Callithrix jacchus: one gene and its partners. The protein of the gene in region 4 purifies or fractionates together with the protein of the main gene of each other region. This does not show direct contact. Links are inferred from orthologs where the notes say so. Each region holds a gene or a part of one and is shown on either strand. Other genes may lie near its edges.

The links.
Region 1: the proteins of CASP8 (region 4) and TNFRSF10A purify together in Homo sapiens (affinity purification with western blotting; 13 studies listed by BioGRID and IntAct, counting the BioPlex papers as one, with this or other methods). This does not show direct contact. The link is inferred for Callithrix jacchus from reciprocal best matches to the Homo sapiens genes CASP8 and TNFRSF10A.
Region 2: the proteins of CASP8 (region 4) and NOL3 purify together in Homo sapiens (affinity purification with western blotting; 3 studies listed by BioGRID and IntAct, with this or other methods). This does not show direct contact. The link is inferred for Callithrix jacchus from reciprocal best matches to the Homo sapiens genes CASP8 and NOL3.
Region 3: the proteins of CASP8 (region 4) and TNFAIP3 purify together in Homo sapiens (affinity purification with western blotting; 3 studies listed by BioGRID and IntAct, with this or other methods). This does not show direct contact. The link is inferred for Callithrix jacchus from reciprocal best matches to the Homo sapiens genes CASP8 and TNFAIP3.

Annotation. Positions count from the first base shown.
Region 1 is NC_133514.1:18,237,076-18,244,952, reverse strand, and holds the start of TNFRSF10A (tumor necrosis factor receptor superfamily member 10A), read right to left. Parts: upstream 4,952-7,877; 5' UTR 4,832-4,951; coding exon 4,685-4,831; exon of another isoform or gene 4,541-4,684; intron 1-4,540. UniProt on the Homo sapiens protein: Receptor for the cytotoxic ligand TNFSF10/TRAIL. The adapter molecule FADD recruits caspase-8 to the activated receptor.
Region 2 is NC_133521.1:24,676,373-24,684,236, reverse strand, and holds the start of NOL3 (nucleolar protein 3), read right to left. Parts: upstream 4,158-7,864; 5' UTR 4,132-4,157; exon of another isoform or gene 3,824-4,131; 5' UTR 3,766-3,823; intron 300-3,765; exon of another isoform or gene 200-299; intron 88-199; 5' UTR 77-87; coding exon 1-76. Other genes in the region: HSF4 (heat shock factor protein 4), read right to left, coding at 4,909-5,063, 5,346-5,415, 5,580-5,645, 5,745-5,850, 6,677-6,904, 7,025-7,149, 7,400-7,502.
Region 3 is NC_133505.1:144,647,453-144,654,701, reverse strand, and holds part of TNFAIP3 (tumor necrosis factor alpha-induced protein 3), read right to left. Parts: intron 5,307-7,249; exon of another isoform or gene 5,234-5,306; intron 5,131-5,233; coding exon 4,821-5,130; intron 1,530-4,820; coding exon 1,339-1,529; intron 686-1,338; coding exon 538-685; intron 379-537; coding exon 208-378; intron 1-207. UniProt on the Homo sapiens protein: Ubiquitin-editing enzyme that contains both ubiquitin ligase and deubiquitinase activities.
Region 4 is NC_133507.1:122,359,240-122,366,488, reverse strand, and holds part of CASP8 (caspase-8), read right to left. Parts: intron 5,264-7,249; coding exon 4,933-5,263; intron 699-4,932; coding exon 593-698; intron 1-592. UniProt on the Homo sapiens protein: Thiol protease that plays a key role in programmed cell death by acting as a molecular switch for apoptosis, necroptosis and pyroptosis, and is required to prevent tissue damage during embryonic development and adulthood.

The DNA of each region.
Region 1 (7,877 bases), on a different chromosome or scaffold from region 4:
CCAGAGAAATCACAGCAGGAGGAGGCAGCGGCAGAGAGCCCACCCCAGGCGGTGTGTCTCCTCCCTCCTCTTTACCAAGACTGTTCCCTCTCCCTCCACTCAGTGCTGAGACCAACAGCAGACATGGGGCAAGGGCTTGATGCACTTAATATGACCTAAGCCATACAAACCTATTACCAGCAAACTCCAATGCCTTCACTTTGAAATTCTCGTCATCTAACTTTTTAAAGTGGTCATTCCTAGTTTCCCTCATTCCTACCACTGCTCTGGACAGACTGGCCTGTTCCCTGGTGCACACACTTTCCCCCTCTGAGCTGTGGTTCCCTCCTCTGTAAAATGTGATGATTCATATCTCCTCCTGACCCCAGGCGGGTGTCTGAGGTGCTGAGCACACCCTGCTCTTCCCTACAAAGCAGACTCTTTCTCCTTTCCCTATTATCACAGATACCTGCCTGGGAATCCAAGAGAGGCTCTTCGCAGACCAACAAGCACCTGCTATTATCAAGCAGGCCAGGTCCCAAATGCTGGGGACTTCCTCCTCCTAAATCTCATTTTCTCTCCAAACAAAATGAGAGCAACAATCCCCATCTCTCTGGGGTAGGAAAGTACCCTAAACAAAGATGTGCAGTCTCTGGCTGGGAGGAGGACATCAGCTGTCCATCAGCATAGGCTTGGGGCATGGCACTGTCCCCACGGTCCCCATCCCCGACCTGGAAGCTAAAAGCTAGAGCCTCACTGCGCTGCCATTCCTAGATACAGGACAGAAGACCATAACTGGGACTGCTGCTTCTCAGTAGGGGCGGGGTGAGCAGCCAGCTGCAGCCACCTAGATGGAGACATTTCCTGCTCACTCTTCGAACTGCAATCTGGGCTGCATGCCCACTAGAAGGACAACTGAAGTGTGGCAGGTAACCCAGGCTGTGGCCCTGCAGTGCCATCGCTGTCCTCACTTGAAGTCTGGCTCCTCTGTTCCTCCACAGCCCCTCCCCATGGTGCTCCACCCCAGTCTTCAGAAGCTTCTGCCTCAAACTCAGGGAGCTGATACCGAGGTGCAGGTAGGATAGGCTGCAGCCTCTGCTGGTGGAGGGCATGTGCCCTGGGGAACCAGTTCAGAGTGACTGACACTGTCGCTGAGGATGTGATTTTTCCTCCCACATGACAGCATACATCTGCCCACACAGTCCACTGCGGTTTACACAGGGCCACTGGGGACTTTTTCTTACATCCGTCTATTTTATAAGAAGGAGCTAGGGCCACACAAGAGTCACCAAGCTGAAGAACAGCACAGCCAACCCTGGCAGTCTTCAGCCTCCGATCTCTGGGCTCTTTAACAGCCTGAGGGTCTGAGCTCCTGAGCCTTTACAATTTCTCATTTCCTACTGCGATAAAGAGAGGGGAGAGGTGGAAGGACGTGGTGTAGAGATTGGACCAGCCCAGCACTGACAGAGCCAGGACCTGAGGTCAGAAACTGAGCTTATCTCTAGGCTCATCTGAGGTTATCCTGACAGGCTGAGGACAGAGACCTTATCTCCATTCACAGGCATGGCGAGTGGCAGGGACTGGCCCCAGCTGACCACGGTTTCCCAGATGCATAGGTGTGACTGCAGTCTTCCCTGCTCCCTCCCCTGCTGTCTCATCTGGAGTCTCAAAGTCATCTACTCCCAGTCTCAAAAAATTCCTGGATCCTTGAAAATCTTTAATAACATTGAAATAAAAAATACAACATTGGGATGTATCATTTTTTTTACCTCTTAGACTAAGAAAGAATGAAAATTCTGTGTAGCAAGGGTGCAGAGACACGGGCACGCTTGGGTACTCTTGGTGTGAGTGTAAAATTGACACAACCTTCTCCCAAAGGACAATTTAGCAACATCCAAACAAAATTCTAAATTGATGAGCTCATTGACCCAGCAATTCCTCTCCTCAGGAGCTGCCTAATACTCCAGTGAACGTGGATATACGGACACGTGACACATACAAGGGTTCTCACTACAATCCTGCTGGAATTAGCACAAAGGGAGGATATCATGTTAACCATTGTCCATAGGATGGAAAATTAAAATCAACTGTGGTTCACCCCATGTGTTTCACCCATGCACTAAATATAATGATGCTGTTAAAAAGAGTGAGACACATGCAGGTACTGACGGAAAACACCTAAAGCGATTTGTTGTTCACTCAGAATTTTTAAAACCTAAGGTGCCTATAAATGCACAGGTAGAAAGCTGTTGGATGGTGGGATGAGAGGGTCCTGTGGGACGGCAGAAGGCCTTGGCGTCTGCTTATGGGTTCTACCAGGTCTCATGCTGAAATCTGAACCCCAGCGTAGCTGGTGGGGTCTGTTGGGGTCTGGGGATGGGGTGTATCCCTCATGAATGACATGGTGCCATACCCACCTCCTCTCCCATCCCCCGCAGGGAATTGTCACTCTTAGTTCCCCTGAGAGCTGGTTGTTAAAATGAACTTGGCCCCTCCCCGTCCCTTTGCTCAACTCTTTCCCCTCCCCCACCGTCCTCCCCATCCCCTTTCCCTGATGGGCAGAATCCAGCTGTCCTTCCCCTTGGCCATGAGTGGAATCTTCCTACCAGAAGCAGATGCCGGTGCCATGCTTTTTGTGTAGCCTGCAGAACCACGTGCCAAATACACCTCTTTATAAATTACACAACCTCAAGTATTCTTTTACAGCCACTTAAACCAACTGTCACATTTCCCAAACCACCACATTCAGATGTTTGATCTTGTCTACACAGGTGAGCCCTACATCTACCTGGACTCACACTGGCCGGGTGCGGTGGCTCACGCCTGTAATCCTAGCACTTTGGGAGGCCTAGACGGGTGGATCACGAGGTCAAGAGATCGAGACCATCCTGGTCAACATGGTGAAACCCCGTCTCTACTAAAAATACAAAAAAGTAGCTGGGCATGGTGGCGCGTGCCTGTAATCCCAGCTACTCAGGAGGCTGAGGCAGGAGAATTGCCTGAACCCAGGAGGCAGAGATTGCGGTGAGCCGAGATCGGGCCATTGCACTCCAGCCTGGGTAACAAGAGCGAAACTCCATCTCAAAAAAAAATAATAATAATAATAATAATAAGTAAGCATCAACCGTGGGTTCCACCTCATATAAACTGATGTTTAAAACATAAATTCTGTAATTATTTGCAGATTACAAAATGCCATTAGTTTCCTGGATCTTGTTTACTTTGTTAAAAAAACTTGAAATTTCCTGACACCTGTAAGACTGGTTTTTATCCTTGAGCTATTTAGCTTTTGTTTCGTGCTTCCTCGATGTGGAAGAAATCTGGAAGAGAGCAAGTGGCAGAGCCTCTGCGGACATGAAAGAGAACTGAAGGCATTGGCATTTTCCAGATTGCTTTCGCGGTTTGCTGCCTTCTGCAGGATGGGTATGCCCCGTCCCGGCTGTGTCACTGCAGTTGATTCACCGCCCTGTACCTGTTCATGTGCAAGAAAATGGCTGGAAGGGGGGCCGGGCGCGGTGGCTCACGCCTGTAATCCCAGCACTTTGGGAGGCCGAGGCAGGTGGATCACGAGGTCAAGAAATCAAGACCATCCTGTCAACAAGGGGAAACCCCGTCTCTACTAAAAATACAAAAATTAGCTGGGCATGGTGGCGCGTGCCTGTAATCTCAGCTACTCGGGAGGCTGAGGCAGGAGAATTGCTTGAACCCAGGAGGCGGAGGTTTCGGTGAGCCGAGATCGTGCCATTGCACTCCAGTCTGGGTAACAACAGCGAAACCCCGTCTCAAAAAAAAAAAAAAAAAAAGAAAAGAAAATGGCTGGAAGGAAACTGCTGCCGGGGTGCTCATGGGACTCGAAGGAAACGGAAGACTACGGACAGCGGAGAGAAAGTTACTTTTTCCTGCCGGGCCGCGCGTTTAACCCGTTTGTCTAAGTAAAGAAGGATGAAGCGGCCGGGCGCGGTGGCTCACGCCTGTAATCCTAGCACTTTCGGGGCCGAGGCGGGCAGATCACGAAGTCAAGAGATCCAGATCATCCTGGCTAACACGGTGAAACCCCGTCTCTACTAACAACACAAAAAATTAGCCGGGCGCGGTGGCGGGCGCCTGTGGCCCCAGCTACTCAGGAGGCTGAAACGAGAATCGCTTGAATCCGGAAGGCGGAGGTTGCAGTGAGCCGAGATCGCGCCACCGCACGCCAGCCAGCCCGGGCGACCGAGCGAGACACACACACACACACACACACACACACACACACGAAACGAAAAGAAGGATGGGGGTGCGGAGGGGGGTGGGGGGGAAGAAAGACATGTCCCCTGCGCTCCCCTTCACGCAGCCAGTGTGGCTTGGAGGTAGCTTCGAAGTTTACACACTTGAGCTCGCTCTGCCGATTCCGAAACCTCCCCAGACATCTTGAGGCGTTGGGAGGAGGGAGCCGCGCTACGCAGCGGAGGACAGGGTGGAGTCCCCCGGCCCAGACTCCTGTGGGGAGGCGGTTAGGGCTCTCTGCTCCCTCCAGGCGCAGGTCACTCCTGCCAGACCCTAGGGACCCCACTCTTCTTCCGACTTCTACGACGGGTTCCTGCTGCACGGACACGTCCGGCCACAGGCGACCCAGGCCAGGCACCCCGTCGCGTCCCCCTCTCTCCCTGCCTCCTCCCTGTGCCAGGCGCGCTTTTCCCCAGCAGGGACCGCGGTGGGGACTCACCCACAGCAAGACCCCGACGACGACGACGGAGAAGAAAATCTGGGGGACTCGGAGCCGGGGCCTCGCTCCTCGCGCCCGCCTGGGTCCTGGGGCGCGCCCTGCCCGGGCCCTCGAGGGAGCCTGGGCGCAGGGTCCCGGCTGTCTCATGGGGTAGGCAGCGCTCCTCGGCCCCCGCCCCGCTGTTCAATCCTCGACGCGGAGGAGCCCCTAGCTGTGCTGGGTGTGGCCGCGACTGCCTCTGAACCTCTCGCTGAGCTCCCTAGATTCGGAGTCGCTGCCAGGAAAGCGCCCAGCTTTACTCCAGCTGGCGATTGCGTCAAACAGCGTCAATCCAAGAAGCACTGCGCTCTGGTAAGACCAAAGTTGGCATTCTCTGGGTCAAGGCACCTGATCCCTCCCCCTTCTCGGGGCACCTGAGACTCCTGTTGGTGAACCCTGAACTTCCTTCCTCTTTGCCCGCCCCCGCTGCTGTCCCTCGACCTCACCCGCCGCCTGGATGCCGCTGCATTCGGAGTCGCTTTGCCATTTAGTCCCAGCGCGAGGCTTTCCTATCTTCCTATTATTCTTAAACCCTAAAAGTATTATGGGATTTGCATGCTGTAGCTATAGTTTAACCAAAACATTAGATTGTGGATCTAGTAATAGAGGCCTGCAACTTCTTATCTACCGAGAAAGTGTGCAAGAACTGCTAACTCACGCCCCATGCCTAACAAGGTGGCTTTCTCAACTTTTAAAGGATTAGAGTCATCCGTGGGTCTTAGGACTCCAAATAAAAGTAATAAACATGTATTTTTCCAGTGCTATAATTGCCCTAATCCCCTTAATCTAACCGATTATTACTACCTTAACCAGCCCCTGCAAAAAAGGTTCATACCCAAATTACGTAAAAATATCTATCGCATGCGCCTTCGTCATTAGCCTCCTCCCTACAGCAATATTTATATGCACATGCCAAGAAGTCATTATCTCAAACTGACACGGAACGACAATCCAAACTCTTAAACTCTCACTAAGCTTCAGAGTAGACTACTTCTCCACAATATTCATCCCAGTAGCACTATTTGTTACCTGATCTATTGTCGAATGCTTAATATGATATATAAACTCAGACCCCTAATATCAATCAATTTTTCAAATACTTATTTTCCTCATCATATTAATTCTGGTTACTGCCAACAACAGCCTTCAACTTTTTATCGAACGAGAAGGCATAGGAATCGTGTCTTTCTAATTGGCTGATGGTAACCCCGAGCAGAGGCTAATCCTCCAAGCAGTGGCGATATTGGCTTTATTTTAGCCAGAGCTTAATCTCTCTCATCCTCCATGAGAGCTTCGACAAGCATTTATTCTTTTAGTTATTTATTTATTTATTTTTTGAGACGGAGTTTCGCTCTTGTTGCCCAGGCTGGGGTGCAATGTCGCAGTCTCGGCTCCCCACTCCCGGGTCCAAGCGATTCTCCTGCCTCAGCCTTATGAGTAGCGGGGATTGCAGGCGCCCACCACCCCGTCCGCCTAATTTTTTGTATTTTTAGTAGAGACGGGTTTCTCCATTTGGGCCAGGCTGGTCTCCAACTCCCGATCTCAGGTAATCCGCCCTCCTAGGCCTCTCAAAGTGCTGGGATTAAGGGCGTGAGCGACCGCGCCCGGCCACAAGCATTTATTCGAAACCCACTCCCGACTCCCTTCCATTAATTAGCCTTCTCTCAGCAGGAGTCGACCTCAGCTTCTGGGTAGCCGGGTTCCTGTCGTTCAGCAGGCGCTTGGTGGGCGGATGGTGGCGAAATGAAGGCTACAGAGGCCGCCACCGCGGGATGTGGACTCCGGGCCGCTGAAGGCTTCTACGGCCTCCTCCGTCGATACCCTCCGTCGACGAGGGACCCATCCTGCTGGTAGTCTCAGGTTTCGATGCCAGTGAAATGTCACCTCAGCTCCACTGTCCCCGGTGTCAGGCAAGCCCTAGGTACCCAATTCCGCCTTTCTTCTGGATCTTCCTAACCTGTTAAGAGTCTTGAAAGCCCTTAAACCAGGGGAGACTACCTGGCGCGTGACAGGGAATGCGTCCTGGCTGGGGTCCAATGTGGGGTAGGTCCTGCCAGCAGTTCCTCTGCACCTAGCGCTGCGCGGGCCCCGGCGTGGGAAATCGGCCTCCCGAAAGGAAAACGAGTCACAGTCCTGCCCGCGCAGGGCTCCCAGGGCGACCACGGGGCTGAGTGGGTAAGAGAAACGGGGCTCTGGCTGATGTGCATTTTTCTCCATGTTTTCACAGGTGTTCGGACACCATTTGTTGAAAAGATTTTCTGTCCTTATCCATAGCCTTATCACTTTTGTTGAAATTAAATTGATCATGTGTGTGTGTGTGTGTGTGTGTGTGTGTTCATTTCTGGACTCCATTCTACTCCATTTATCTTTATTTGGCTAATGTCATGCTAACTACTACATTGTCCTAATTATGAGCTGTATAGTCAATCTTGAAATCAGGGATTTCAAGTCCTCCCCCTGCCTGCCCCCTAAAAATGGTTTGCATTTCCACATATATTTTATATAGAATCCTTTTTTTTCAAGTAAAAAAGCCTGCTGGGACTTTAGTTGGGATTGCATTGAATGTAGAGATCAATGGGAATAATAGACATTTGAACGATTTTGAGTCTTCCAATCTATGAAATTGATTTATTTATTTAGATATTCATTACTTAAGCTTGACAATATTTCACAAACTTTTCAGATACAGGTTTTGCATATCTTTTGTAAATATATTTCTAAATATTTTTGTTACTATTGCTAGTGTAATTTGCTTCTTTTATTTTCAAATTATTTGTTACAACTATACAGAAATACAATTGATTTTTGTACATTGGCCTTGTATCCTATGGTACTGTTAAAAAGATGTAATGTTTCTAGTTGTTATTTTATAATTATTTAGGATTTTCTATGTAACCAATCCTATTGACTGTAACTAAAAACTGTCTCAGTTCTTCCTTTCCAATCTTATTTATTTATTCATTTATTTTTTTTCAGATGGAGTTTCACTCTTTTTGCCCAGTCTGAAGTGCAATGGCATGATCTCGGCTCACCACAACCTCCGCCTCCTGGATTCAAGTGATTCTCCTACCTCAGCCTCCCAAGTAGCTGGGATTACAGGCATATGCCACCACACCTGGCTAATTTTGTATTTTTAGTAGAGATGGGTTTTCTT
Region 2 (7,864 bases), on a different chromosome or scaffold from region 4:
CCGCCTGCAGCGTCTCGACCAAGCGTTTCCGCTCACGGTCGATAGTCTCCGACGGCCGCTCCTGCGCGTTGCCCATCGTTGGAGCTGCTTGGGGAGAGGGGAGAGAAGTAATAGGTGATTGCCCTCCCTGCTCCGCGCCGCCTCTGACCTCTGTCTCTCAATGCCCCCAGTGAACACCCAGACTGGGGTCTAAGTTCACCTCGATGCCAGCCTCCAGTCAGCTCCGCAAGCACAGGACCTGGAGGCCAACACAGGGAACTCAGCGTCCTGCCTCTCCAGACGCTTCTGTCCTGTCTCCTCCTCAGGCTCCTCCTTCTGTCCCTAAACGTCAGCTGTGGCTCTCCTCTCCTCCCCTGCCTCTCCCAGGACTCGCATCTACTGTCTGAATGCCCTCCCCAACCAGGACCTTCTGAGCTCCAGCCCCAGCAGATCTGAGCTGGGTTCAGACCCTGTTTATCCAAACTATCGTCTTTCTCTCAAATCTACTTCCCCACCTATCCAGGCAGAAAAACATAGGATTGAAGCTGATACTCCACACTCAGCTTGCAGACAAGTCCTTTCCAGTCTGTCTGCCGAATATTTCTCTCACCATCCTCAGCACTTACGAAGTCCAGCCTTCTGCCTCCTGTTTTGGCCCTGCAGAACCTGGGATCAGAGCTCCCTGCTTCCATACTCTCCCCTCCAGTCCTCTCTGCACCCAGAGCACAAAGTGCTGACAGCCTCCCTGCCCCTCTTCCCTTACCTTGACCCTGAGATGCAACTTTCCAAGACAAGCCCTTCCAAGCAGGGTGTCCCTGCATCCTCTCACCAACACCACCGCCATACTGCAACCCCAATGTGGTCTCATGACCCTTCCTGGTCCCCTGATTCCTGAGCAGAGATACCAGAATCTTTTTCAGGCCTAGCTCTGACCAAGATCTCTTGATATCACCTGAGACCCACCTGTCTCCCTGCTGACCTGGGAATGACCTACAAACATTTTGTTTGATCTTAAAGTACAGAAGGCCTAGCTCATACAAGCTACCAACAAATGCTCACCGAACTTGGATTTTCCTCCATGGATCTCCCTATTTTGAGAGACTGTATGGTTTTTTGTTTGTTTGAGATGGAGTCTCACTGTTGTACAGTGCTACAATCTGGGCTCACTGCAACCTCAGTCTCCCAGGCTCAAGTGACTCTCATGCCTCAACCTCCAGAGTAGCTGGGATTACAAGTGTGCACCACCATGCCTGGCTAATTTTTGTATTTTTAGTAGAGACAGGGTTTCATCATGTTGGCCAGACTGGTCTTGAACTTCTGACTTCAAGCGATCCACTGCCTTGGCCTCTTAAAGTGCTGAGATTGCAGGCATGCACCACCACACCTGGCTCATGAGAGACTATCTCTACCAAACAGCAGCTATTAGAGAAAATTAATCTGCTTGGTCCTTTTTTTTTTTTTTTTTTTTGAGACAGTCTCACTCTGTGGCCCAGGCTGGGGAGTGCAGTGGCATGGTCTTGGCTCACTGCAACCTCTGTCTCCTGGGTTCAAGCAATTCTTCTGCCTCAGCCTCCTGAGTAGCTGGGACTACTGGCACTCACCACCATGCCTGGCTAATTTTTTGTATTTTTTTTTTTTTTTGAGACGGAGTTTCACTCTTGTTACCCAGGCTGGAGTGCAATGGCACGATCTCGGCTCACTGCAACCTCCGCCTCCTGGGTTTAGGCAATTCTCCTGCCTCAGCCTCCCAAATAGCTGGGATTACAGGCATGTGCCACCATGCCCAGCTAATTTTTTGTATCTTTAGTAGAGACAGGGTTTCACCATTTTGACCAGGATGGTCTCAATCTCATGACCTCGTGATCCACCCGCCTTAGCCTCCCAAAGTGCTGGGATTACAGGCTTGAGCCACCACACCCGGCCATTTTTTGTATTTTTAGTAGAGACGGGGTTTCACTATGTTGACCAGGCTGGTCTCGAACTCCTGACCTTGTGATCTGCCTGCCTCAGCCTCCCAAAGTTCTGGGATTACAGGTGTGAGCCACCGCACCTGGCTGCTTTGTCCATTTATTCCCAACCGAGGATTATGGCCCATTCCTGTGAGTGGCCTGATGCAGCCAGCAAGACCCCTGGCATTAGGAGGCAAAGACAGCCGGCTTTGGACCATGGCCTCAGCTCACCCCCGCCCCCATAATATATATATATATATATAAACATATATATTAACATATATATTATTATATATTAACATATATATTATTATATATATAATAATAACCTCCCCTCCTCCCTGCCTTGCCTTTGTTCACACAACATCCTTCCATCTCCTCTTCCCTTTGCTGTCCCTTCTCTGCCTCCTCCTCTGACTCTAGGAGGCTGGGCCTTCTCTGGGAGAAAGGATTTGGTTCTAGCCCCCATCCTGCCTCCCAGGTCTCTCTCAGTACCCTCTGGTGTCACACTATATCGCTCCTGTCACTTCACACCCTGGCTCCTGCCCATTGAAGCCCTTCCTCCTGGGCTACCAAGCTGAGACCAGAACTACTCCCTGCCCCTCCCTTTCTCTCTCTCTCTCTCCCTCTCCCTCTTTTTTTTTGAGACAGAGATTTGATCTTGTTGCCCAGGCTGGAAGGCAATGGCAAAATCTTGTCTCACCTCAACCTCTGCCTCCCGGGTTCAAGTGATTCTCCTGCCTCAGCCTCCTGAGTAGCTGGGATTACAGTCATGAACCACCATGCCCACCTAAGTTTGCATTTGTAGTAGAGACAGGGTTTCTTCATGTTGGTCAGGCTAGTCTCAAACTCCTGACCTCAGGTGATCCACCTGCCTCAGCCTCCTGAAGTGCTGGGATTACAGACACGAGCCACCTCCGTCTCTCTTTATGTCCCTTCTGTGACAGGTCTTGCTTCTCCACTTCTCAGTGAGTATCCATCAGCTGCTGCCTCACCACCCCACCATGGTCACCTCATGTCCTGTAACAGTCCGTCTGAGGCCCTCTCACTCCCATTCCACTAGACCCCACAGCACAGTGAATTTGACAACTTTCTGGGCTAGGATTACTGTTCCCGTTTTACAGATGAGGAGATAGGCTCAGAGATTCAGTGGTAAAACTGGAATCTTACTTGCCCCAGCCTGAGCTATGAGGAACTGAACTATATTCTCCTGTCTAGCAAAATCCCATCCTAAATATCTATCTACCTCCCCCCACCCCACCCCACTGCCTATCAGACCTTAACTATCTGGTCTGGCTACTCTAACCTCCTCCCACCACCCTGGACAGCCAGGTCCTTCCCAGCTTCCCTCCACCAGTCAGGGCTGGGAGAACTCATTATGGCCTTGGCACCTTGGAGCCTTTGCTGATGCCCTAAGACTGGAATCCTTTTCCCCTCCCTCCACTTCATGGACCTATCCATCCTCCACGACTCAAATGTTCCCTTGTCTACACCAACGCCTAAGTGTCCCAAGGGCAGGTGGTTCTTCTGTGTACCCAGTAAACAAACATATGCCCTCACCACCACATAACCAATATCACTGCATTGTATACACGCAGATCCTCTGTTTTCTTCAGCTGAGGCTTCCAGTGTCCCTCCAATCGGTGGGCACAGGAAGGGAGAGGGGGAGAGTACCTACTCGGGACAGACACAGGGAGGGTGCAGATTGGATTGGCCCCTCCTCTCTACTCCAGCCTAAATTGTTCTCATGTTAGCTTTCTCCTCCTATGACCCCAAGTCCTGCCCTTTTTCCAGCTGGTCTGGGCTCTCCCTTTGAGGATTTAACAGTTCTCAATACCGAAGTTATTTAGCGGTCAGTCCTTCGAGGGCGACGGGTCAGATGTTTCCCAGAGAGCCTGGTGGTGGCGAGCGCGTGGAGCTTGGTCCCAGACTCCAACCCCAGCTCGATGCTCGGGCTCTTTGGCCGGGGAGCCAGGGTCTGGGGACACTGCGGAGCCTTTGCGGATGTACGACCGCACGGATCCCCTTACCTCCCTCCACTCAGTCCCAGAGCCTGAGAGTCCAGCGGCAGGGCGGGGCCCACAGACCTCCCCAACCCAGTGGTGCGCTGATTCTGCCCAATCTCGGTTTCCCTTCCCTCCCCCAGCCGGGAGTGGGGCTCCCGGTCTGGCCCGTTTTGGGCGGCCCCACTCACGGGTCGAACCTCGGCGGGGCAGGAGATGACGGTGCAGAAAGGGCCCGGCAGGGTGGGGGTGGGTGCAGCAGCTGCGGCGGGGGCGGGGCGGCCAGGGCTGCTGGGAATAGGGAGGGTGAGGGTTCTTCCCCGGGCACTGGGAGCCACGCCGCGGAGGCCGCGCGCTGGCTGGGGACGTGCACGTAGTCAGCTTTCCCTCCCCAACCGGGGTGCACCGGGAGATGAGGCCAGGAGGGGTCAGTTCGGCCCGCGGCCCCACACGTCCAATGCCCACTCAGGGCCTGCCAATTTCCAGGTGCTTTGCATCTATCCTGTCATCGACCCCTCTTCCCTGCCTGTCACAGAGGAAGCTCAGAGAGGGGTACTGACTCACCCAGGATCACAGAACGCATGCATTGCAGAGCTGAATGTGACCCAGAAGCCCCCGTTTCCCAGAGATTGCATCGGCCCAGCGCCTGCCCTGGATCCCGGCCTAGGCAGGGGAGCTAGGCACCAGATCCCCAACCATCTCCACCCTACCGGGGTTCCTCTATTAAAGACCTAGTAACTGAACGCGTCTACAAATGCAAAATCACCCCCATCCACAACTCCTGTGCTCCCTGGCCGATAGAGAAAAGAGACCAGAAACAGAAAAAAAAAATGGAGTTTATGTGCAGGGCTAATCGGGGTAGTGGAGAGAGGACGATGAGTAGTGGGGGCTTCGCTCACCCCCGCCAGGGGGCGCCAGGAAGCCAAAAAGGGTGTGCAGCTGCGGACTGACTCGAGCCCCCTTCAGAGGCCAGGGTCTTAGGGGGAGGGACTGGCTTCCGGGCCCAAGTAGGAGGCGGTCTGGCTCTCAGGGGTGCTGTAAATGGTTAAAGCCCCAGGCAAACCCAGGGCTGGGCCTCCCAAGGCTGCCTGGACATCCAGCAAGAGTGGCGCCCCCAACGTGGGGTCCTTCCCTAGGAGAAGTTGGGCAGTGTTCACGAAGGGAAAGGTTCCCCCTCCTTTCATCAGGGAAGGAGAGCCCTGCCCACCTGCTTTCTGCTCAGTTAGGATGAAACATCCATTCTTAACCTCCCCACTCTCACCCAGTGGTGAGGGCATGGGTGGCTCAAGGAACTCTCTGCAGGGCAGTCTGAACTTGGAATTTCCCTGCAAAGTTCAGATTGCCCCATTGCTCAATCAAGGTAGCTCAGCCCAATCAAGCCCTTCTCCTAGGTGGGAGTCATCACAACCATTACCTGGGCTTGGAGAATTTAATCCCTTGACCGACATCTCAGGCTCACCCCGCTCTGGAACCAAGGGCTGCATCTGCATGTGAGAACCACAGGGAGCAGCTGGGAAGGGATCTAGCAGCTAAGTGGGCAGCTGCAGCAGTCCTCCTGGAGACACGGCTCCAGCTCACAGAGAACAGCCATGGACCAGAGGGCTTGGCTCAGCCACCTGGTCTCTGCCTTCCCCAACCCTCTTCTTACCAAGGACAGCTCCATGTCCAAGTCCATCAGGGTCCATTCTCGCCCTTGGAGACTGGGACCTAGCACCTGAGGAGAGCTCTGGGTCACTGGTGCCCTCCCCAGGCTGCACAGAGAGCGAGACCCCACCAGGCCTCTTGCCTCTGCTTCAGCAGAAGGGGTACTTACATCTAGAGGCCCTGCAGTCTCCACACTTTCTTGGGGGGGCCGAAGCAGCACCGGAGGCAGCAGACTCTCTGGGCTCCTGTCCCCCCTCTCCAGGCCCAGAGGCCCGCTGTGCACAGAGAAATGCTTTTGGCTTGCAGTGTCTGCCCCTCCCCCCATTAAGTTCCCAAGGAACCCAGACACATCGAGATTTAAAACCCCAACATTTAGAAAATGATAGGAGAGGACCCCATTCTCCCTCCACCCCTAGCCTTCCCACCCCTGCCATAAAGGGGCACAGAGAGTGCCTCTGCTTCCTACCTGGGACCTGAAGTTTGGGTGGTGGAGCTAGGGCTTTGGGATCCCTCCCCTCCCTATGCAAATATTAACATCAATGTTTCTTCTTTCTTTCTTTTTTTTTTTTTTTTTTTTAAAAAGAGTCTCCCTGTTGCCCAGGCTGGAGTGCAGTGGCACAGTCTTGGCTCACTGCAGCCTCCACCTCCCAAGTTCAAGTGATTCTCCTGCCTCAGCCTCCTGAGTAGCTGGGACTACAGGTGCACGCCACCACACCCAGCTAATTTTTGTATTTTTAGCAGAGTGTGGGGGGGTGTTCACCATGTTAGCCAGGCTGGTCTTGAACTCCTGACCTCAGTGATCCATCCACCTCAGCTTCCCAAAGTGTTGAGATTACAGGCATGAGCCATCTCATGGCCACCAATGCTTCTTAAATTATTGTATGCTTTACAATCACCCCAGGGAACTCATTTAATCTGTAGGTTTCTGAGCTCTTCTAAAGATGCTGAGTGCCCTGACTGGGAGGTTCTGCTTTCCAAGGGACTTGGATGCTGGGGCCAAGAAGTCAGGTGAGTATCATGGAGTCAAATGGCTGGGAAGCTATGGGGGTTGGTAAGGCTGTTCTATCACAGGGCTCGTGGTCCAGCAGGGGCTCTACTCACCTGTCGGATATCTCCCTGGGATCCCCTGGTTCAGGCTGTTGGGCATTCCTGGGCCCCTCGGGGCTGAAGCTCCCTTTCCCTTCCAGGATGGCCTGCACCACAGCCACAGGCAGCGGTGGGGGGGCTGTCACGCAGAAGTCACACTCGTTTGGGGCCAGGGCCAGCCCGGCCTCGCCATCCCCCCCTGGACTGGCCGGCTCTTCTTTGAGCAGTGCCAGGCCCTTCTCCCTGCACCAGAGAAAAGCTTCAACCAGACCCTGGCACTGACTTCTCCCCGTACCCCCACAGCCATCTGGGCTGCCAGCCCCTCCCCCACAGGCCTCCCAGGGGCAGCCCTGTCCCCCTTACCTCCTGCCGTCACTGGAGGGAGAAAGCCTGGTCCCCTCAGGGGATGGAGATTCTTCTGGGATGTCAGAGATGATGGGGCCCCTGGCCCTGTGAGGGCTGAGGCCCAAAGTCGTCTCTGGGAGGGGCTGTAAGTGGAAGGCTAGGCCCAGCCCTTGGCCTGTAGGCACAGGGAGAGCCAGAACCCCACCAACACCCACCTGGGCCAGGTCTAAGGGAGGTTTGAGGGAGGAGGTTCAGTCCATGCTGGAGGGCCTGGGTCTGGTTGGGGGAAAGGCTGGCTTCCATCTTCTCTTCCTTTTAGGGGATGGGGAGAAGGAACAGGCTCTCCAGTAAGCCCAGCCATGCCCTCAGGAAGCGGGCAGAAGACAAACCTACCGGCTGGATGAAGTAGGGGTCCTGCAGAAGGGCACCAGATAGGGGGCAGGTGTTGAACTTGGCAGGTGTTGGGCAAGAGTTCCCCTCATCCAGCATCAGGGACCTGTGTGGTTGAGCAGGGCATAGGCAGGGGTGGGGCAGGGTCAGCCCCCATGCCCCTCAGCCTGCACTTCCCTCCCTCCCTCAGGCCCCAGCAGCCAAGTCAGCAGAGCTGAGTTGCCAGGGCATCAGTCACATGCTGGAGGTGGAAGGGGCTCCCCCCAGAGATGGGGGCCCTTTGGGGGTAGAGAGGGGAGGGAGGGAACCTGGTTTGAGCCCCAGGCCCTCAGCTGTTGGGAAGCTTTTTGAGGGGAGGGGGAGGGGGCTGCTGGGGTTGGAATTTGGGAATAAGGTCCAGGAAGGGGAGGATCTGGGAGTGGGGGTACCAGGTGGTAGAGTTGGGGAAAGAAGATCCTAGATGGTGTG
Region 3 (7,249 bases), on a different chromosome or scaffold from region 4:
TTTTCCAAGTCATAGTCAAAACGGTATGGGGGTATTATGATTAGTGCTATTATATTACTCTTACTAACCAAGCAAGTCACAGCACTATATATTTAAATAAAAATAATCTACTTAAATAAGAGTGTTTCAATAAGAAGCAAAAGAGAAAACCCTGATGTTTCAGTATCTCGCAGAAGTTACAAGTGTGAATTAATGCAGTTTTCTCACCAGGTCCACTGTCCTTCAGGGTCACCAGGGGTACAAAGTGATGACTGTCATAGCCGAGAACAATGGGGTACCTATAACATTCCTGAGCAGGCCAGTGGAGAGGCAGGTAAATTCCACCCACTTTCAAAGGGGCAAAATTGGAACCTGATTCCAAACTTCTTAGCATTTTGTCTGTTCAAGGAAAGAAAAGAAAAATGAGGCCCTTAAGGTGACTTCCATCAAATTCCATTTAACTCTGTTACTTGAACTTTGGCAGTGGTTTTCTCTAAGAGCCAAGGCATTAAAGCTGAAAGCATTTAAGTACAGATACATGATCTGCAGGCATCTCACCTGAAATGACAATGATTGGCCTTCTGAGGATGTTGCAAAGGACAAATATGTGTATTTCTTCCAGTGAGTTGTACTGAAGCCCACTTCGGGCCACGGGTGTGTCTGTGGAAGCCATTTTGATAAGGGTGTCCCATTCATCATTCCAGTTCTAAGGGGAGGAGGTGAAAGAGGACAAAAAGCTTGAATGTACCCTGTACTCCTATGCTAAAGTCATTCTAACATCACTCCGCAATTATTCACTTATATAACTCAGCTTATTTTTCCCCTTTCATGAAACCATCATTCAAATGATCATCCTTTTTGCCCCATTTTGGTTTTCTTTCTTTACTCTTTTCTACTACAAGGCAAACTCAAAAGTTGGGGAGGACAGGGACAGCACCTGCTTACAAAAAAAAATCCCTGATGAGGTATCACATTGCAGCCCCTCATCCAAATGTTCACAAAAATTCCAAACTTGTGACTGAGGATGGTGAGGCATGTGTTGTAATGTTATTGGCTGGCTCAGCAAAGCTAAGGGCAATCAAACTGAAAAACAACAAAACACCAATGGAAAAGGCCATGAGCAGAAGACCTGCTGCTAGAGGGAACAGATCCACAGCTGGGAATCTGCTAACCAAAAGCAGTGGCAAAAGCCTTGGGTTAGTCCCATAGGTTTCTGGTGTTTTCCATTGAGTATGCTTCACTTAGGCAAATTCATATGACCTGGGCCATTAGATGCTACCAGAGGGCAGGGACTCACCCAGGGGTACCCTATGCCCACCATGGAGTTCTGTCAATAGATAATTAGGGGGCAATACATACCCGAGTGTCATAGCAAAGCCCCGTTTCCACAAATTCCTGAGATTTGAGAGACTCCAGTTGCCAGCGGAATTTAAAGTTGCGTGTGTCTGTTTCCTTGAGCGTGCTGAACAGCGCCTTCCTCAGTACCAAGTCTGTGTCCTGAACACCCCACATGTACTGAGAAGTGGCATGCATGAGGCAATTGCCATCACCTGAGGACAGAAAGGAGGAGAAGAGAAGGAAAATCAAGTTATCTGCATTTAAGGTCCAGCAAAGGTTTTCAGAATAAACCAGCCCTGCTACTGTGCTAGGTCATTGAGTGGTTTAATTTCCTAGTCAAGTACAAATTGGTATTTCACAAGATAATGACAGCTTTAAGGAAAAAACAGTTCTTTTCATTTTTCTTTTTAATGAATGACACCAACAGCAAAGGAGCCAGGGGACCTTGGTTCTAGCTTAACTCTGCTCCTAACTCATTTAGGTGACCTGGGGGAAATTCCTTAGGTTCTCTGGGCATTTTTCCTCTTTGTGAAATGAGGGCACTGAGTGATGATCTCTAAAGCCCCATCCCTTTCTACTATCCCCTGATTTGCTGGTGAAGGCACTGGCATTGCTGCTCTCTAATCCTAAGGAAGATCACACAGAGCAACATGCACAAACCAGGAAGCGGGCATGGCTTGCTAGACTGGGATGGTATGGCTATGACTCAATGGCAAATGACTTGACCATTCCCCTTTAGCCTTTGGGCCCTGGGAGTTTCCTCTCCTGGTGTGTAAAGTGAGGTTGGCAACACTGAATTACCTATGGCCTGCCAGTCCAGCTCTCAAAAACGCGTTATGCAAACCTGCTTGTTAGTAACTGTAAAGTACAAAAGTTAAAAAGCACCTGGGTGTCTACATTTGAAAATAATTCAGTATTTAGGGCTGACATTTTGAGAAAGAAAAAAAGCAGGTTGAATTGTATGCCATTCATTTGTGACCCTTCCAGTTTAAAACTCACAATTCAATGGGCTGCATTTTTTTCAACCTCCAAACAATAAATCTTTTGGGGAAACGTTTAAAACAAAAAAGTTAACTCCTTGGTATCTTTTGGCAAATACAAAATAATCTTTATAAAGAAAAGTTAAACTGTTTCTCATATTACTCTATAAGTAGGGCAATAATGCTATTTGAAATGTTATCAAATTATAATTACAGTCAAACTATAAAGAGACCAATAAAACCCTCAAATATGTATCCACAGCCAGTATTCCTTCAAGTTACACATTTAGAAAAACTAGCTAAGTAAGTATTCAAACAAATGGACAAAAAAGATCGCCCAAGCCTTGTGCCTTGGCAGACGTGTAGCAATGATTGCATTCTGTTGAAATTTCCCCTTTGCAAAATCTAGAGCAAAGATAAGGCTTTTTTTCTTCTTCTTGTGCTTACTTTCAGTTCTTTATTGAGATGCACCAGTATAAAATTCCCTAAGTAACATCTGGAATTCCCCAGTGCTAAGTTATTTGACTAGCAATTGAGCAACAGCTATTGTACTTTTTGTTCTGGTGTGTAGACATTTAAACTGCGAGGTGCACCCTGGACTTTCCAAGTGGGTGTGGTCAGGGTGAGCTGGAATAGGGCTACTCATTATACAAGTGAAATCGCTGCAGCCAATAGACGCTGGAATTTTTCACATGAAGTTTCAATTTTATGCCACCTACTCCCTTCCTCATTCACCACAGTCTCATATCCTCAAATGCAAACTTGTGAATCACCCCCTCCCCAGATATTGCCTTTGAATAACCCTCCTATCAACGGAAAGATTATTATTATTTTTTTAAAAGGTGCTAATCAAAATCAAAGAAAAAAAAGTCATTTGTATTCCTCCCTCCCGATATCCTTTCTTCCACATTTAGACTCTTAAGGAGTTTTCTAGAAAGTGAAGAAACAAAAGGATTCTGAGTCTAAAAATGATTTCCCAAAAAACGTTACCAAAATGCACCTGGCTTTTGTAGTTTTATTTGTAGTGTGACTCCTTGTTGATTTCAATGACATGTTTGCAAAATAAGTGTTTCCTATTTATAGTCCCTTTTTTTTTCCTAGTGGAAATCGAGCATTTCCTATCTTAAGGAAACAAGGCAAAAAGTCAGTTAATTTTCTTAATAAGGTTTCCCCCTTCCTACCACATTTTTAATTCAGCAGAATCTTTCTTTCCAACTCCCCCAAAGTTTACTCTATCTCTTTTTAGTAACAAAATGGGAGAGGATTAAAACCACAAATTGTCAGGCACATAAACCCCATGATGACTTTACATAATTACCTACCTCTATGTATCACTTAATTTAATGCCAAGAATAATGCAGACAGTAGCTATCCCTAGTTTTCTTTCTACCTATGTTTCTAAGAATCAGTGTTTCATAAATCTAGGCAAGCTGTTGAAGCAATGTACAAGACCCCCCAGAATCAAAATTTAAAAACCCACATCCACCAATCACTCTAAGTTACCCAAGTCAAAAAAAGCCAAAGTTAATGTACCAATTAAGTTAATTAAGTCAGTGTTCTTATCGTAATCATTGTCAACAATGATTTTCTGCTCTTGGACATCTTACTTTTATTAGGATGGTTTGGGACTGTCACAGATTTAAGTATCTGAGATTCCTGGTCTTATGTAGTCTATGAGCATTTAATTGATCTTGTACAGTCCACTTGCTTATTGTAATAATTATCCACATCCATAGAGTAGAATTTTGTGCCTGCATGAAACTGTATGCAACAGACACTCCTGTTGATGCACAGATTCTTATCCAAGGGAAATGATTAAAAAATAAAGCAGTAAAGCTTGGAATAGGAAATAGCTACTCCTGGTAAAGGCCATTGGCAGAACAGCACAGGCAGGAAGGATTTCAGTGACTAGGAACCTCTAAAAATAATGAAGGTGAAGTCTAAAACTCATGCTAAAAATCTCAGCATCGATCTATTTCACACTGCAGGGCATAGGCAGTAGAACCAGGTCAGAGAGGAGGAGGAGACAAAAGAAATTCCTCATGTCTTCAACAGCCATTCACTGGTTAACCCATAAAATGCTACCAATTCGAGAGGCATAAGAACATCACACGCATTTTCTAATGACAGTGGGAAACAAACGTACTACCAGTTTTCACACCATGCTTTTCTTTTGAACTTAAGGCTATTAACATTTCCATTACGAGCCAGTGAAGGGTATTTTACAGATGATTAAACATTTGCAAGCATTAGAAACAAATCACCTAATTGGAGTATTAAAAACGCATTCTCCAAGCCTCAATGTGCTCTGCAATATACACAATCAGAAAATATCCTTAATAAATAGATTCACAAAACAAGTCAGCTCTTATCACATGTCCCGTATAGAGTTTCTACACTAAAGTGTCTACTAAATCTCAAGAGATTTGAGTTTGGGCTTGTGCTATTAAAGCTCCATGAATGGGGACCCAGCAAGCAGAAGCTATCACCCAGGCAAAAGAAGCACAACAGAGCAAGTCTTACCATTCGTTTTCAGCGCTACAAGCTTCCTGACTTCCCGACACCAGTTGAGTTTCTTCTGGCTTTCCAGGGAAGCCTGGATGTTTCTGTCGATGAGGGCTTTGTGGATGATCTCCCGAAATTGAGGACAAAACTGGCAAGTTCTGAACATTTCCAGTGTGTATCGGTGCATGGTTTTAAAATGATGAATGATCCCATTCGTAGGTTTAAAAATATCTTCTGGAGTTCTCTCCCGTATCTTCACAGCTTTCCGCATGTTGCTCAAATACAAAGCCTGAGGAAGGACTTGTTCGGCCATTGTGCTCTCCAGCACCTGAAAAGGAAAGAAAAAAAAACAGCCATTCCATTAGCCTGACTTTGATATGACTCCTATATACCTGTCTGCAGGAAACCCCAGTGTTTGATCTTGTCATTACCCTGATCTGTAGGCAAAAGATCTTAGCACCTCTACTCCCGGGATACTAGCTGGCCCAGAGATTAACTCACACTGGGCTGTTTTAAGTTACATCACTTTAAAAGATTAGTCTAAATAAGGGACGGAAGGCAGAGAGTGGGTACTGAGGAGGAGGGGAATAACCTGTGTTTTCAGTAACGTTTGTCAGGGAGCCAACCCTGTCTGTCAGCAACAGGTACTGCTCCTCAAAATCAACTGAAGCTCCTGTTTCATTCTGAGACCACGCTGAACAGCGCTGGATTTGGGGAGTACCGGATGCCAGTTAAGGGCTCAATGTAGCCCCGACAAGTCTATAGCTCCTTCCCTTCAGACCACCACCAAGCAATCCTGCCCTTGGGCAAACTCTTGAGTAATCACTCCCTCCCTATGCTGGTAAACTATTTTATGAAAAATCTTGCAATTTTATGCTGTCATTTAGGCTCCTGGTTGGTGTTTCCTCTTTAGCCCCAAAGAGAAGTATTTCAGTGTTTATTCATAAAGTTTATTCTGATGTTTATAAAGAGTTAAAGCGGAATGTTTTCTAATCAACAACAAAAAAACCACTTCCAGCAAGATGCACTGCAATTTTAAGAGCAGTCAACATTCCTTCAGAACCTTCCCACCAGACTTCATATCAGAATAAGAAACAGACTAATAATAGGCTGGGCACGGTGGCTCATGCCTATAACCTGGCACTTTGGGAGGTCGAGGTGGGAGGATCACTTGGGCTCAGGAGTTTGAGAATAGACTGGGCAACATATTGAGACCTAGGTCTCTACAAAAACAAAAAATGAAAAACCACAAAATAATAACAGAACAATAAATTCTGTACTTCCAAGAACAGATATTGAAGCTCAATCATTTCAACTCAACTGCCAATAAAATTCTGTCATCACCTTCCAGGTCCTAACACAGATGCATGTCTGCCCAGTTTTTCACCCTGAAATCTTTAAGCATAAGCAACTAGCAGAAGGAATGAAAGTCTAGAAGCAGACAAGGAAGGAAGTTTCCACCAGGAGGCCACTCCAGCAAATGAAGGAGGAAAGGGGCAAAGACCAGCATCTACAACCCATGCCAACAGCTCAGAATGATGTGAATTAACATAATGTGGGATTTCTCCAGTACGGAACCGCGTGGAGAGCCAGCTCTGGTTCGCTAGCCCTTTGTAGGGTGCCTGGCCACACTTCCTAATTTCCAAGACGATGAAGATGTTTTCAGAGCACAAAGACATTCTCTAGGAAATTTCACAGAGATTATTAATTCCACTCCTGCAGCAACCTATTTGTCAGGGCAACTCTCCAGTTGATAAAATGTTAAACCTATGGAAGAGGGAGGAGAAGAAACCTAGATTTTAGGGTAGCTACTCCTGGGTGGGTCTAGGCTCTCTTAACACCATTGATAAGGTGGTCTAAATTCTTGTGGCCCACTCAAAGGAGAGAGGTTGGACTTAGATGACCCATGGTTTCTCCTGAGGAGTTTTCTGGTGATAGTTTTAGATTGGGATTCTTAATCTGATTGCTGGGAAAGGCATAGGGGGAGTCATTCTCCAGATCAGATGGTGTTTTCCTTTGATATCAGCCATCCACTACAGGTGAAATTGGGCAAAATCATAGCAGAACAAAAAATAACACATATACCTTTCCTTTGTGGCACAGCAAAAGTCTCTTTCACAATATTGTCCATCCATCAGTCTGTCCATCCATTCCCCCCACCCACCCACCCATGCACCCATCCACCCATCCACCCAACAAGCCCTACCTGACCACCTAATGAAGGCCAACACCATCCTTGATGAGGGACTAAAAGTCAAAGATGGCCTTATTTCCTTGAAACCACACTACCACCTTAGTGTGCAGCTAAGGCAATGGAGTTACAGGTACTGCTTAGATCCCACAGCCATTCAAGGGCAAAGTTTAGCCTAGCAGCCAGGTCTTTCAACATCTGCCCCTTGCAATCCCACAACACCAAAGCTGCGGCTACAGTGCCTGCCACAATCAGA
Region 4 (7,249 bases):
CACACACAGAGACATAAATGCAAATACACACTATGCAACATGCACACAGACACACATACCACAGAGAGAACACACAGAGATACACCACTTATACAGAGACACACAAAGATACACCACGCACAAATACAGACACACACCATACACAGAGAAAGGCACACACAGACACAGAGATACACACACAGCATACAGACATACACAACACACACAGAGACACAAAACACAAACACACACACAGACACAATATACACCCAGAGTTCCAGGTCCCAGGTTATTCTGGGGACTGCAGAAGTGGGGAAATGTCTCAGATCACCACTGTCCCTCTCGCCTCTGCCGAGTCTCACTCTGGGCTGCCCCTTGCACAACAGCCTCCTCTCCCAGCCCCTGACTCAACCTTGCTACCAGTAATTAACAGGAGCAGTACTTGAGGATAAAGGAAGCACATTTGTAACACTTGTGCTGACAGCTTTCTTATTCTAGTTAAAAAGTGAGAATCCAGGTTGCTTTTACCAAAATAGCCCCTCACTTTGGTCTCAGAAATGTCCCTGGCTAACCAAGTTTCGGGACTAAATCTCAGTAAGATACCAGATCTTACCATGTCATCATCCAGTTTGCATTTGGAGATCTCCTTTTTCAAAAGAAACTTAAAAGACCTCAATTCTGATCTGCTCACATCTTCTGAAATCTGATAGAGCATGACCCTGTGGTGGGAAATGGAGACACTTTAGAAACCTTTTCCTAAGTAATGTCCCATTTGATATATGGAGTCAGAGTGGGCTTGATTCCAAAGGCCTCCCTTCAAAATAAAGCCAGTTAATGGCATGGTTTACGAGTTGAGTCCTTGGAAAGAGGCAGGTATATAGCGACACAGAAGTCTACGACTCCTCCCCAACTATCCCACCCTTAACAATTTAAAGTTCTATCAACTTTTCTTTCAGTTTATTTTAGTTAAATTAATCTTGTTTTCCTTTATTTTTTTTCTATGAAATCAAGATTTTGTTGCAACAGCAAAAAGTTTTCAAAGGACACATTGGCCTGTGGCATCGCTAACTAAAATTGGTCAGTGTTCTCCCAGTCATTACCTTCGGTAAGAAGGCCAAGCATTTGGTTCTGGAATACAAAGTCTCTGAATACATCTTTATCACAGACCAGACCACAAACACTAAAGGACCTGAAGCTCCAAACACACCCAGCTTGCCCTGCCCTCACCCCTTTCTGCTGTGCCCCCACACCCCATCCCCTTGTCTATCCGCAGACACCCATCCATGAACAACAGCTCAAGCATTGCCTGAGCATCCTCAAGGCTGCATTCATTCCACTATGACTTAGTATCCCCAGAAGGATAACACATATAATTGTCTTTTGGCCTGGTACAGTGGTTCACACCTATAATTCCAGCACATTAGGAGGCCAAGGCAAGAAGAAGATCGCTTGAGCCCAGGGGTTTGAGACCAGCCTGGGCAACATAGCAAGTTCCCATCTCTACCAAAAATGTTTAAAAATCAGCCAGGTGTGATGGCATGCACCCATGGTCCTAGCTACTCCTGAGGATGAGGTGGGAAGATCACTTGAGCCCAAGAGGTTGACACTGCAGTGAGCTGTGATCATGCCACTGCACTAAAAATAAAATAAAAATAAAAACAAAAAATAATTGTCTGTTTAGAAACTGTCCAAGTCCCTAATGGCCAGGTCCATGCCCTTTTTGTTTTCATTAACCCAGAGGGTTGTGAGGTGCAATGTTTGAGTACAGAGGACCCAGGCTATTGGTGTTGGAGCCTTGGTTCTACCATCTTTGAGCAGCGTTAACTTTAGACATGCTACACATTGTTCCTGATCCATACACTGAAGATAATTATCTGTAACCACATCATAGGAAGGTGTTGAGGATTACACAAGTAAGTTCATGTGAAGTACTGGAACCAATCTTTGACAACACACTAAGTGTTCAATGAGTGATAGGCGTTACTATTTCCTAATCTATGCCTATCACATTTATTTAGGCCGGCACATTTAGGCTCTCAGAATATGCTTGTTGAGTAAGTGAACACAGGAACATTTTAGAAGTCAGCAAACCTTTCAATATTATGGTGTAAAGGAAAACAATTGTAATACAAAACAGGTTGACTTTAAAATTTAATTAGAAAGTAAAATTCTGAAAATAAAAATGGGGTAGAGCCAGGCACAGTGGCTCATGCCTATAATCCCAGCACTTTGGGAGGCTGAAGTGGGCAGATCACCTGAGATCAGGAGTTCGAGACCAGCCTGACCAATATGGCAAAACCCCATCTCTACTAAATATACAGAAATTAGCTGGGTGCGCTGGTGGGCACCTGTAATCCTAACTACTCGGGAGGCTGAGGCAAGAGAATTGCTTCAGCCCGGGAGGTGCAAGTTGAAGTGAGCCAAGATCATGTCATTGCACTCCAACCTGGGCAACAGAGCGAGACTCTGTCTCAAAAAAAAAAAATAAAAAGACTTCACAATTCTTGTAAACCAAAGCCATCTAGCATACTGGTTGAATAGTGTCCTCCCCTCTTCCCCAAAATTCATGTCTACCTGGAATATGAGAATGTGACCTTATTTGGACAAAGGATATTTGCAGATAAAATCTGATCAAGATGAGGTCATACTGGCCAGGAGCAGTAGCTCACACTGTAATCCAGAACTTGGGAGGCCAAGGTGGGCAGATCCCATGAGCCCAGGAGTTCAAGACCAACCAGGACAACATTTCAAAACCCCATCTTTATAAAAAATACAAAAATTAGCCAGACATGGTGGCGGATGCTTGTAGTTCCAGCTACTTGGGAGACTGAGGTGGGAGGACTGGTTGAACCTGGGAGGCGGAGGTTACAGTGAGCCGAGATCGCACCACTGCACTCCTGCTTAGGTGACGTACTGAGACACTGTCTCACACACACATGCACAAAAAGATGAGGCCATACTGGATTAGAGTGGACTCTAATTCCTAATCCAGCAACTGTGTCCTCATAAGAGGGAGATTTAGACACAGAGAAGGGAACATAGGCAGAGACTGCTGTGCTGCATCTTCAAGACAAGCAGCACCAAGGACTGCCGCACCCACCCAGAGCAGGGAAAAGCACGAAACGGATTCTTCCTCGGAGCCTCTAAAAGAAAACCAACGCTGTTGACATTTTGATTTCTGACTTTAGGTCTCCAGAACTATGAGAACAAATTTTAAAAACTGTTTTAAACCTGCTAGCTTGGGTTACTTCATTACGGCAGCCCTAGGAAACTTATACACCCAAAATATCTTTTTTTTTTTTTTTGAGACAGAGTTTGGCTCTTGTTGTCCAGGCTGGAGTGCAATGGCTCGATCTCAGCTCACCCAGCTAATTTTTGTAGTAGAAACAGGGTTTCCCCATGTTGGCCAGGCTAGTGTCGAACTCCTGACTTCAGGTGACCCGCCTGCCTCGGCCTCCCAAAGTGCTGGAATTACAGGCATAAGCCACCACCCCAGGCCCAGAACATCTCTTTCACCATTTAAAATCAAAATAGTAAAGCCTTGGCCAGACATGGTGGCTCACACCTTAATCACAGCACTTTGGGAGGTCAAGGCAGGTGGATGACTTGAGGTCAGGAGTTCGAGACTAGCCTGGACAACACGGTGAAACCCTGTCTCTACTAAAAATACAAAAATTAGCCAGGCGTGGTGGCATGGGCCTGTAATCCCAGCTACTTGGGAGGCTGAGGCAGGAGAATCGCTTGAACCCAGAGGTGGAGGTGCAGTGAGCCGAGATCACACAACTGCACTCCAGCCTGGGCGACACAGTGAGACTCCGTCTCAAAAGCAAAACAAAACAAAAAGTAGTCAAATCTCAGAACAATACATAGTCTCTGAGAATAGAAAGACCAGGGTGTTCATGGGCTGGGCCATCAGAGGGCAGCAGCTGTCAGCTCTGGCTGTGAGCCCTTTCCATCTCACATGCCACAGTTATCGACAAGCAAGCAGAGAAAATGAAATGGGCCCAGAGCCAAGGCTTAAGTAGAAGTTTCCCGAAAGCAGAGCTGAAATTGCTTTAAGGAGTGTCTAATAACAGGAGATGCTGAAAGGGAGAAAGTGACAATGTGTTTCTGTTTTTCAAGTCTTGTCCCAGCATCATGAAGTTGTATTTGAATGGGGTTTCTCTCTCCCACCTTTGGTTACCCATGCTCCCTAGGGTGGGGAGAAGATAAGTTTTACAGCCTTTGGCAGGATGACCCAAAGTGCCACTGTCTTCCTATAGAAGCTTAGAACTGTCATACAGCTGGGCTCACAGGAGCTAGGCAGCCTCTGTGGGGACTGCCTAGCTGTATGTGCCAGGCCAGCTGCATACAACTCTGTAAAGAACTTTGTCATTTGAGTCAATCTTGTTGAAATTTTCCATAGCCATCCACAAGCAAGTGGGAGGGGGATTTCAGGGTGGGAGGCCGTGATGCTGGACTCAGTGGATGGGCAAAGTAAGCACACAATCTGGATATCAGCAAAGCAGAGGCACCAAGATAAGAGAAGAAAAACAAAATGAGAACACTTAGAAAACTTTATTATAACTTCAGCATACCTCTAAGTAATGTTTCAGTTTGAAAAATACATTTTTATTTTATGGTCTTAGCGTTTTTCTAGAATTATACATACGGCCCTTAAATTTCTTAATCTGGCTCCACTGGGACATCTTCCCAAAGCCTCCCAAGTGATACTGAATGTGGTTTCTCTTTGTTTATCCACTCTCTCTAGGGTGGGGAGAAGCTGAATTTTACAGCCTTTGGCAGGACCACCCAAGGTACCACTGTCTTTCTGTAGAAGCCTAGAATTGTGGCACAGCCAGGCTCCCAGGCACCAGACAGGCTACCACAAAGACAAGCCCCAATCAGCCCTGCCCACAGAGACTGTCCATTCAACCCACCCTTGCAGCCCCCACATTGGGAGTTTCTACCCACCTGTAGGCAGAAATCTGAGCACTGCCCGGTGTCTGAAGTTCCCTTTCCATCTCCTCCTTGCTAGTGTGCAGATATTTATTCAACAAATCCAATCTATTAATTCGGAAGAGCAGCTCCTTCAGAAAGAACAGATTACTTTCCTCCAACATTCTCTTTTCCTGGAGTCTCTGGAATAACATCAAGGCATCCTTGATGGGTTCTTGCTTCCTTTGTGGTATGTAGTCCAGGCTCAGGAACTTGAGGGCGGCCAGTTCTTCACTTCCCAGTTCTTCCCCAATATTAAAAAGCATTTTGCTGAAGGCCATCTTTCCAAAAGGTAGGTAGATGTAATCTAAGTCAAAATATAATGGTATGTTCAGATAAGGAAGAAAAGAACCATTTGCTGGCTTGTTCATCAAAGGCTACTGCATCTACTAGATACTGGTCATTGTGCTGTGAGCACAGGAGAGAAAAAAAGAACACCAGGCAAGTTTCTGCTTACTGTGTGGGAAGGTAGATAAACAAACAAGCCAATGGTCAGAGAGGTATGCTCAGAGTGCGGTAGGGGTGCAGAGGAAGAAGACATAACTCAGCCTGGGGGAAGGGCTTCCTGTGGGGAAGGGATTGGGGGAGAATGTGAGAAAGCACAATTCTTGCAGGAAACAATTGATGTAAAAGATGGAGGTAAGAACTTTCAAGTCCATTCAGGCAGGCACGAGTAGCTCAATAAAGTAACTGCAAAGGGTCTGGGACAGAGAGTGATGGGACAAAGGGATGAAGCTCTCTTTCGGTACCATGTCACAAAGGGGCTTTATTACCGTGGGGCAGAGGGTTTAGGCTTTGTCCTGGAGGTGATGAGGAATTAAGAAAAAACTGTACAAATGAGAATGACATCACACAATTGGGGATTAACATTTAAAGTGCAAAGGATAGACTGGAAGACTTGGAGGCAGGGGACCTACTAGGACGTATTAGGAGGAGGCATTTTGGTGCTGGAGGGCAGGAGTAATGGGGTCTGATTTAAACAACAGTGGTAAGAGGACATGGGGCAGTGTGGTTCCCTAAAGGCCCAAGGACCAGAAAGGCCCAAGGACCAGCGCCTGCAGGTGGTCAGGAATGCAAGACTGGAAACTGAACCAGGTCACCCCTGACAGCCCTTTCAGCCCACAGAGTCTCTAAGTCAGGTTATGTGGTATTTTCACACAATGTTTTTAAAGGGGAGGACTGTGTTTCCACAAACCCCAGACAATTATCATGCCAGCGGCCTGAGATCTGGGGTTCCACCACCTTGACAGATTTCTACCCCACCCTCCCTGTTCTGACAGCCCCTGTCCTTGGTAAAGGAACCCTAGGAGCGGTGTTTGTGCTCCACTCTTCATAGGAACAAGACTGGGACATGGATCCCCCTGTCACAGGTGACATTCACCGTAGGGGAAGGCAGCAGTGCCGTGTTTAAGAGCCTAGATCATGCCCAGCTGTGATGCTAGCACTTTCTCAAGGTGTTAGTTTCCACCTCTGTAAAATGCGCTCATCTCTCAAAGCTGCTGTGAATATATAACACCTAGAATGCATTTAGAATAACTCCAAGCAACTAACAAATGCCAAATAAATGTTAACCTAAAAGAAGGAAAAAGCCCCTGGCTGTGGGGCATAGGCTCTTGAGCACTTCTCTCACCTCCCATTTCCTCAGTTGAAAATGTGAACATTCCATTGGAAGCGGCGGCTTTCAGACTCTTCAAAGCTGAAGAGCTCTTTGTCAAACCCTTACTCAGAAGCTCCTTCGCCCTTAAGAGTTGACCCTGGACCACTACCTTTTGAGAACCTTAAACTAAGAACCTTTCCATTCCCATCCAGCTCCATTATATTTCTATGATTCCACCAACCCTATACTCTTGGATACTTTCCTTCCCCATAAATAACCTTAACCTGTTTGGACCCATTTTCTCACCTGCAACTAGGTGGATGGGTTCTGGGTCTTTAAGCCCCTTGCATCTGCTAACATTCATAGATGAAAACACAAACCTGGATCCTGCCACTCAGAGGGAGTGGTCAAGGAAACCACGATTCATGTGTTTTCTACATCTTACTCTAAAATAAAAATACTTTCAATTTGGACATTAGAGTAAGTTTAATTTTTTTAAATTTCCATAGCTTTTGGGGGTACAAGTGGTTTTTTGGTTACATGGATGATGCTGTAGTGGTGAATTGAGTATACCCATCACCCAAGCAGTTTACACTGCACCCAATATACAGTCTTTTATCCCTCATTTCCCTTAGGCTTTGTCCTGGAGGTGATGAGAAGCTAAGAAAGACTGTAAAAATGAGAATAATGGTATCC